2 linked regions of the Caenorhabditis elegans genome follow. The protein of the gene in region 1 purifies or fractionates together with the protein of each later gene. This does not show direct contact. Each region holds a gene or a part of one and is shown on either strand. Other genes may lie near its edges.

The links.
Region 2: the proteins of gna-1 (region 1) and C36A4.4 fractionate together in Caenorhabditis elegans (co-fractionation; one large-scale study listed by BioGRID). This does not show direct contact.

What each region holds. Positions count from the first base shown.
Region 1 is NC_003283.11:10,319,068-10,322,122, reverse strand, and holds gna-1 (Glucosamine 6-phosphate N-acetyltransferase), read left to right. Parts: upstream 1-1,971; coding exon 1,972-2,469; downstream 2,470-3,055. Other genes in the region: srdf-3 (Polyprenal reductase), read right to left, coding at 1-30, 79-344, 391-582, 1,007-1,155, 1,206-1,405; Putative pseudouridine synthase B0024.11, read left to right, coding at 2,589-2,697, 2,748-3,055.
Region 2 is NC_003281.10:3,840,663-3,845,788, reverse strand, and holds C36A4.4 (putative UDP-N-acetylglucosamine pyrophosphorylase), read left to right. Parts: upstream 1-2,174; 5' UTR 2,175-2,178; coding exon 2,179-2,430; intron 2,431-2,484; coding exon 2,485-2,905; intron 2,906-3,408; coding exon 3,409-3,757; intron 3,758-3,807; coding exon 3,808-4,061; intron 4,062-4,118; coding exon 4,119-4,297; 3' UTR 4,298-4,543; downstream 4,544-5,126. Other genes in the region: maph-1.3 (Microtubule-associated protein futsch), read right to left, coding at 1-628, 675-896; C36A4.11 (uncharacterized protein), read right to left, coding at 4,639-4,646, 4,705-4,903.

The sequences.
Region 1 (3,055 bases):
TTGATTGATGCACACGAACATGATTATGAACTGAAACGGATTTTTTTAGAAGAAAAACGGATGAAACTGACAACTTACTCTATACACGTAGGCATCAGGAATTACAAGAAAAAGTGACAAGTAGATGCATATCTCGAATAGAAAGTGAGGACATGAGACGAGATTGAACCAACCACCAAAGCAGATACCATAGGCGTAATTGCGAATTAGTCCTCTAGGACCTTTTCTTGTATTTGCTATTTGTTCGGCTAGCTGATGTTGTTTCCAATTGCAAATCCAAAAAAGGACAGCTCCAGCCCATTGGGTGAGAGAAATATCATCAATTGACACGTGAAGCTGAGGTACTGTGAAAATAAATTACTAGAACATTTCAGATAAGTATCTTCTTACATTTGGAAGCAACTCCCTGTGTTTCACACATAATTGAAATTGGCAGAATGATGTAGTGGACTATCCCAACTGCATAGTGAAACAAGTTCATACGACTGTCCGAGTAAACACTGACAAATATTGTTTCATAGAGACGTCGTGCTACGTGAAGGCTTATGAGCAGGAGAGCCAAGATTGATGTGCTTGGGGTAACTGAAAACATATTTATTTCAACTTAAAAGTGTATAATATGATATTCTAATCAAATTTCTAATTTCTGAAAATTTGAGTCAAAGTTTTGGTAATTTGCCAAATGGTATTTATCTATTTTTAAATTTACGAAACGTTTGAAGTTTTTGAAAAATTTAAAGCAACACCACATGTTTGAAGCCCTACAGTGATTACATAAAATATTTGAAACATTATTAAAATATAACATTTGTAGAATACAATATTTTTGTTGTTTTACAAAATTGAGTAATAGACACTTTTTGACTGAAAATAAAAAGTTTAAGTTCTACTGAAAATTGAAAACAATGAAATTAATACAACTGCGTCGCGACTTCGCATATATTCCAAAAACCACTAATCAAAAAAAAAAAAAGAAAATCACTTTTTTTTTAAAAGAAAAACTTACTTGGTGGTATACTGTAGGATCGTGTTAGCGTGGCAAGAATCTTGAGAACCACTGGATGCAGATAATTAGGATTGTAGATTAACGAGTGGACAGTGTGTAGACATATAAAAAGTGTTAGAAGACCGATTGCGTAAAAATGCTTAAACCATCTGAAAAATTTCAGACAAGGATAGAACTCCCAAAGACTAACTGTACTCACTTTTTAGGTACAGATATTTTTTCTACCAAAGAGTTATCTTCTTGTTGATCAGCAGCTTTTCCATATGTAGTTAGTGCAGGTATCAATCGACAAACGTGAGGACATATGAGAGTAAAACAACATGAAATGGCAAGTCCAAGCGTAGATACTAACAGATAAAGGGGCAGTGCTTGGCGCACTTCCCAAAGTCTATCTAACATTCTGAAATGAATAATTGTATAGAAAAATCAATGGACACAGAAAAATAAAGTCAAAAACGGAAACAAGAAGAAAAGAGCGGAAATGAGTAATGGAAACATTTTTGGACGAGGGAGGAGCCGACGCAGAGTTTCTTTTTCTGAGGAGAGAATACGCCAAACGAGTGCAGCTGCAAGTGTGTAAGTGCGCGATGAGAAAGTAAATAGAAAAACCAATGGCAGATACTGGGCAGTTGGAGTTTTGAAAAAAAAATAAAGAAAAAAAGAAGTAAAACGTTTTCTTTTGATTTCACAGGTCGTTCAATGTAAAATGTTTCTAAAATGTTTGTCCGAGAGGAGTACATGGCCGAGAGAACGCGTGGCCGTGGCCTAGTTCTAGGAACAATTTTAAACGTTGATTTATTTATTTTTTGCGTCGATTTGGAACAAATCTCCGCATCGTTCGAGTTATAATTTCTCTCCTTATTTTAATTTTCATTTTTTCAAATATTTAGCAAGCTGCGCTAGATTCCTCCTAAGTTTTTCTCATTCGTTCGAACGATTTGTCATCACTTTTCTTCAGAGAAAATATGTCTCACATTTTTGATGCGTCTGTGTTAGCTCCACACATTCCTTCGAATCTTCCTGACAATTTTAAAGTTCGTCCCTTGGCAAAAGACGATTTCTCGAAAGGATATGTTGATCTTCTGAGTCAGTTGACTTCGGTCGGAAATCTTGATCAGGAAGCATTTGAAAAGCGATTTGAGGCGATGAGGACCTCGGTCCCCAATTATCATATAGTCGTCATCGAAGATTCCAATTCTCAAAAAGTTGTTGCATCTGCCAGTTTGGTTGTCGAAATGAAGTTCATTCACGGGGCAGGAAGTCGCGGAAGGGTTGAAGATGTTGTCGTGGATACTGAAATGCGTCGTCAAAAATTAGGAGCCGTTCTTTTGAAGACTCTTGTTTCTCTTGGAAAGTCTCTCGGAGTTTACAAAATTTCTCTCGAGTGTGTTCCTGAACTTCTCCCATTCTACTCACAATTCGGGTTCCAGGACGATTGCAATTTTATGACTCAGCGCTTCTAAATTTCACACGTTAATTCATTGATTATTCTGCTAATGGGGTCTTGTAATATGGTTTTTACGCATAATTTGTTTTATCGTTTGGTCTGATTTCTTTCATGTATTTATTGAATAAAGTTTAGATGGAAACCGAATTTGGATTGACCGAGTATGCCAGTGAGCATACAATCACTCCTGTGCCCTGCCTACTGAAAGAAATGTACAGTGACTTCATCGTTCAAGAAATTTTAGGTTATTTAATCAAACTCAATTAATGTTACTAGAATTAATTTTATTTTCAGCCGACCACACAGTTTTGGCCATTCCATCGCCAGATGTTGTCCTAGAAAGTACTGGGTCCAAAAAAGAAGACATTGAGATCGAAGAGTGTGTTGCTAAGCCAGATTGCATCTCAGAAGAGACATTAGCTGCATTAAATGACCGATTCTCTACGAAAGGAGATCCCGTTCTTGTAAAAGTTGACGATTTGAGCAAGGAAGATCGAAAAAGCATTCATCATTTCATTAGAGAGCGGTATGCTGGAGTTTTAATCACCGAAACGAAGGAAGATGGAATTCTGGTATCTCATGGTCATACGAAGAGCAGTCGG
Region 2 (5,126 bases), on another chromosome or scaffold:
CACTTCGTGTAGTCGTCGGACAAGCTGGGCCTGTTGGAGCACGAGAAGTCAACGCTCTGGGGGCACTGACTGCAGGGATTGCTGGACGAGTTCTTGCGGCGCCGGTTGTAGATGCAGATCTAGTAGATGGTTTTCCGGCAACAGGTCGTGGAACGGCAGGAGCAGGAATATCCAACAACGCATCCTTCGACTTCACGGTGGGCGCGTTGAGGAATGGAAGTGATTTCGCTGCCTTGTCGAGCGATTGTTGGATCCTCGCAAGTGAGCTCGTCCCCGAAATAAGCACTCTGACCGCCGATTGATCCGTCATCGCAGGCCTCCAGAGCAGGACGGCGATGGTTCCATTCTCAGCGGCCGCCTTCTCCACTTCTGCCTCGTTTCCTCCTGCCAACGCCTTTGTGATCACTTCGGAGTCTTTGACGTCTCCAGCCAGAATATACATGGAGAGAACTCCTTTTGCAGCTGACTGGTATATGATGTGTGCCGGATATTTCGGGCTGAACAGTGGCGGTGCAACGGAGAGAAGCTTCGAGTTCGCTTCTTGAATTGCTTTGGCAATCTCTCCACTGCTTCCCGGCTTGGCAGTCTTGAACGGCTTCGTGTTGGTGAACACCGGCAACGGTTTTCCCTGAAAAAAGTAGATTATCAAAATTTTCATTAAAGTTTCTACAAACCTGTTCCAACAGAGCAGACGTGGTTCCGAGGTTACCAAGCGTCGGCGCGGCGAGCAGCACGGCAGAGACGTCCCTGACGTGAGCCACGAATCCTGGGCTTTTTTCGGCGAATCCCCCATCGAGAATGTAGACGCCGTCAAAATCAAACAAGGTGGCTGTGTTGGCCGCACCGCCCAAGACGTAGACGCATGCCTTCGACGACATGATGTATTCTTCCGGCATCTGGAAAGAAGGAGTAATTTTCAACAGTTTTAAGCACGTATACGTAGAAAATGAAAGAGAACGCTGAAAGATTGAATTATGGCGAATTTTATGCCAAAATAATTACAAAAACCCTAATTTCGGAGTTTTTCGCGCTTTTCTGTAGACTTAAGTTCATTTTTCAACCATATTAGCGACTAAAAATGTTCAAAAACTAATCAAAAATGTGAAATAAACGACAAAATTATAGGGAAAATGCAAAAGCTTCTTGGCTGCTGACAAAATTGCAGATTTTTTAGGATTTACAAAAAAAAGGTTTCAGTGGGCGGTGCCAATTCGCAACCACCGCACGCTCATTTCGCAAGCCTCGCACGTTTTTTCAGTGATCTTTTTAAATACCTTTTTTAAAGAAAAACGCGCGAGAATAAACAAATAAACAAATAAACAAAAACGAGACAGAAAAACACGAATGAGCTCTCTCGCCGCCTTATATAGCGCGGTGAGAGACGCAGAGAATGCAGGGAAATCAGAATACGACCGCTGCCGCCGTGGATCAAGATCACTAGTGATATCAGTCTCCTCTTTGTTTGATCTACCAGTAGAAGTGCAGAGCGCCTGCGATGGGTGGATTTTTTTCATTTTCAACTTTTTCAATGTCGCTGAATCAATACGTCATTTCTATTGGAAGCTAGTCTTTTTGGTTATTTTTTAGATTAAGTTTGAGTCTTGCGGTGCTCGAAAAACTCAAAATCTTTTTAAATCCACTGGTATATATATATTGGGAGAATTGAACTCTGTGCATTTTTCCGTCACTGTGTTCGCGTACTTTTAAGTTTTTATGGCGGCAGCGGCGCCATGTTCAGATGTTTTTTTATATGTTTTGTGATCTTTTCATCATTTTCTTGAAGAATTTGCAGATTTTTTTTCATTTTCAGTGAATTTTTCTTAATAAAAACTTTTTTTTTCCATTTAGATTGGATTTCTCCGCATTTTCTTCGGCGAAACAAGAGATTCTCTGTTTTTATTGCATTCTAAAAACGTTAAGCCAACAATCAATATTTTGTCGTGTTTCTTGTTTTCCATCTCCTTGTTTTTAGAGTTTTAAAGTAGGAAACGTGTTAAATAAGTGCAGTTTTTTGTGTCTATCTATTTTCCAAATGAACATTTCTGTAATTAGAGAGAAGCTGCCACACACAGCGTTATGAATAATTATTTTCTTATCTTTGCGCCGTGTATTATCACTTTTTGAATTGTTTTCCACCGGAGAATCGTTTATTTAATTTTGATCATTATTTTCAGTACGATGACCATCACTGCTCCACCAAAAGACGAGATTATCTCAAAGTTTCCGGGCTCTGAGCCACTTCTCAACTTTTACAATGAGCTCTCGGATGCCGAAAAATCGAAGCTTTTCCACCAAATTTCAACTCTAAACCTTTCGGAAGCTCATCAATGGTTCATTGATTCAGCGGATCAACGGGCTCCATCAACTGCGGAAGACCTTAAGCCGGTTCTTGATTCTCAGCATTTTGTACAAGCTGAATTGCATCAAGTGGTAGAGACTTTTAATATTTAGGTAAAACCATCATTAAAATTACATTATTTTCAGATCCTCGATGGTCTCTGGAACAAGGGAATGGATGCTATTGGACGTGGAGAAGTATGTGCAATTGTGCTCGCCGGTGGACAAGCTACACGTCTTGGATCAAGTCAACCGAAAGGAACGATTCCATTGGGAATTAACGCTTCATTTGGAGATTCTCTTTTGGGAATTCAAGCTGCCAAAATTGCACTTCTTCAGGCTCTCGCTGGAGAACGGGAGCATCAGAATCCGGGAAAAATTCACTGGGCAGTTATGACGTCACCTGGAACAGAGGAGGCTACTCGTGAGCATGTGAAGAAACTGGCGGCTCATCATGGATTCGATTTCGATGAACAAATTACTATTTTCTCACAAGATGAAATTGCTGCATACGATGAGCAGGGAAACTTCCTTCTCGGAACTAAAGGATCTGTTGTTGCTGCTCCAAGTATGAGTTTTTACGCAATTCGTGTACTCCTCGAGGAAAACTGTTTTTACGAATTTTTCAGCTATAATTCTGACTTTTTGATTATTTTTTAATCTTCAAAACGAAAAATTATATGACATTTAAAGTATTTTCGGTGTCAATATTGAAAGCAGTATTAATTGCATGGATTTTCACCCAAAACACACTAAAAATATAAATTAGTTGACGATTTGAATTTAAAAAATATCTAAAATTAAGTATTTTATCCGAATACTTAAAAATTTCGTACAAAAAAATAATTATTCTTTCTCGGGGAGTACACCAGCTGCGTAAATCGACACAAAAATTTTAAAAAATGAGTTTTTCAACGAAAAAAAAATCGAATTTTCAATATTTTAAAGATAATGTGTTCTCATCAAACTCAACTTTTTTTAGAACATAAAATCTAGACTTTTTTCTGGATTTCAAAAAAAGAAAATTATCGATTTTCTCACAAAAAACCGAAAAATCATATTTTTTTTCAGACGGCAACGGAGGTCTCTACTCTGCCATCTCTGCTCATTTGCCACGTCTTCGCGCGAAAGGAATCAAATATTTCCATGTGTATTGTGTGGACAACATTCTGTGCAAAGTTGCCGACCCTCATTTCATCGGATTCGCCATTTCAAACGAAGCTGACGTTGCAACCAAGTGTGTTCCGAAGCAAAAAGGAGAACTCGTCGGATCAGTTTGTCTTGATAGAGGACTACCACGTGTCGTTGAATATTCGGAGCTTGGAGCCGAGTTGGCTGAACAAAAGACACCGGATGGAAAATATTTGTTTGGTGCAGGATCTATTGCAAATCACTTTTTCACGATGGATTTCATGGATAGGTTTGTAATTTCAAATTTGGAGAAAAAGCTTAATTTTAAAATAAATACAGAGTCTGCTCTCCATCATCTCGTCTTCCATATCATCGTGCTCACAAGAAGATTTCCTATGTGAATGAGCAGGGAACCATTGTCAAACCGGAAAAACCAAATGGTATCAAGCTGGAGCAGTTTATTTTCGACGTCTTCGAGCTCTCGAAGCGATTTTTCATTTGGGAGGTGGCGAGGAACGAAGAGTTTTCTCCATTGAAAAATGCTCAATCTGTTGGAACTGATTGTTTGAGCACTTGTCAGAGAGATTTGTCCAGTGAGTAGATTTTTCTGTGAATTCAGAATTAAAATTGATTTAAAAACTGATTTTCAGATGTGAACAAGTTGTGGCTGGAACGTGTTCAAGCGAAAGTGACTGCAACTGAAAAGCCGATCTACTTGAAGACAATTGTCTCCTACAACGGAGAGAATCTTCAAGAACTCCGTCATCGTGAAATTTCTGATAGTGCCTTGGAATCCGATCATTCGATTAACAAATTCTTTGTTGTCTAGTCTTCTTTTGTTTCATATTTATACTGATTGCCCTACTCATTCCCCTATCATTTCCCAGCCAACTGTGTTTTATTTATGTTAAAATCCCCGTGATGCTTTCAAATTTCCTTCGGTATTTTCCCCAAAAACCGTAGTTATTAGGCCGATATTATTGCTTGACATCCATTTGTTTTAAATTTCTTAAATTTTCGTAAACTGAAACGAGTTCGAATACAGATTTTGTAAATACTAAAAATGTTAGAATGAGTTGGTACAATTTTATAAATTTAAAAATGACAATTTATTAAAAAAAAAAGTTATCCTTGGAAATGTGCCTTCTGTTGGGAGGATGTATTTAGTCATTAATTTCCTGAAAAGAGCAATAATTTAAACAAGCAAATAACAAAAATTAAAAAAAAAAAACTTACCTAATAGGCCTGCCACGCGGGACTTGTTAGCACCGGATCCAATTCGAAGGCAATCTTCCTCTTCTTGTGCATCTGAGCCACCGTGGCTGTCGAAGATGTCGCAGTAGAAGCTGCTATCCGAACATTCTCCAGACTCTGTAGATCCACCGAAACCACTTTGGATGATGGCTTCTCTGTCGTTCTTCGCCTTTGTTCCCATTTAAGCTCACGCTCTAATATCTCGAATTTCTCCTTCAAAGTCCACTCGGGAGCATCAAAGGGACTTAGCACCGGTTTCCAAAAGTTTCCTGATTCGAATAGAAGAAGAATATTCAAAAACTATTCAGTAGTAATTAAATATAAATAATTAATAAAATCAAAGTGAGAGAGCCTGTACACAAAAGCTCGATGAAAAGTATGAATGAATAATTGTGGGGTACGGA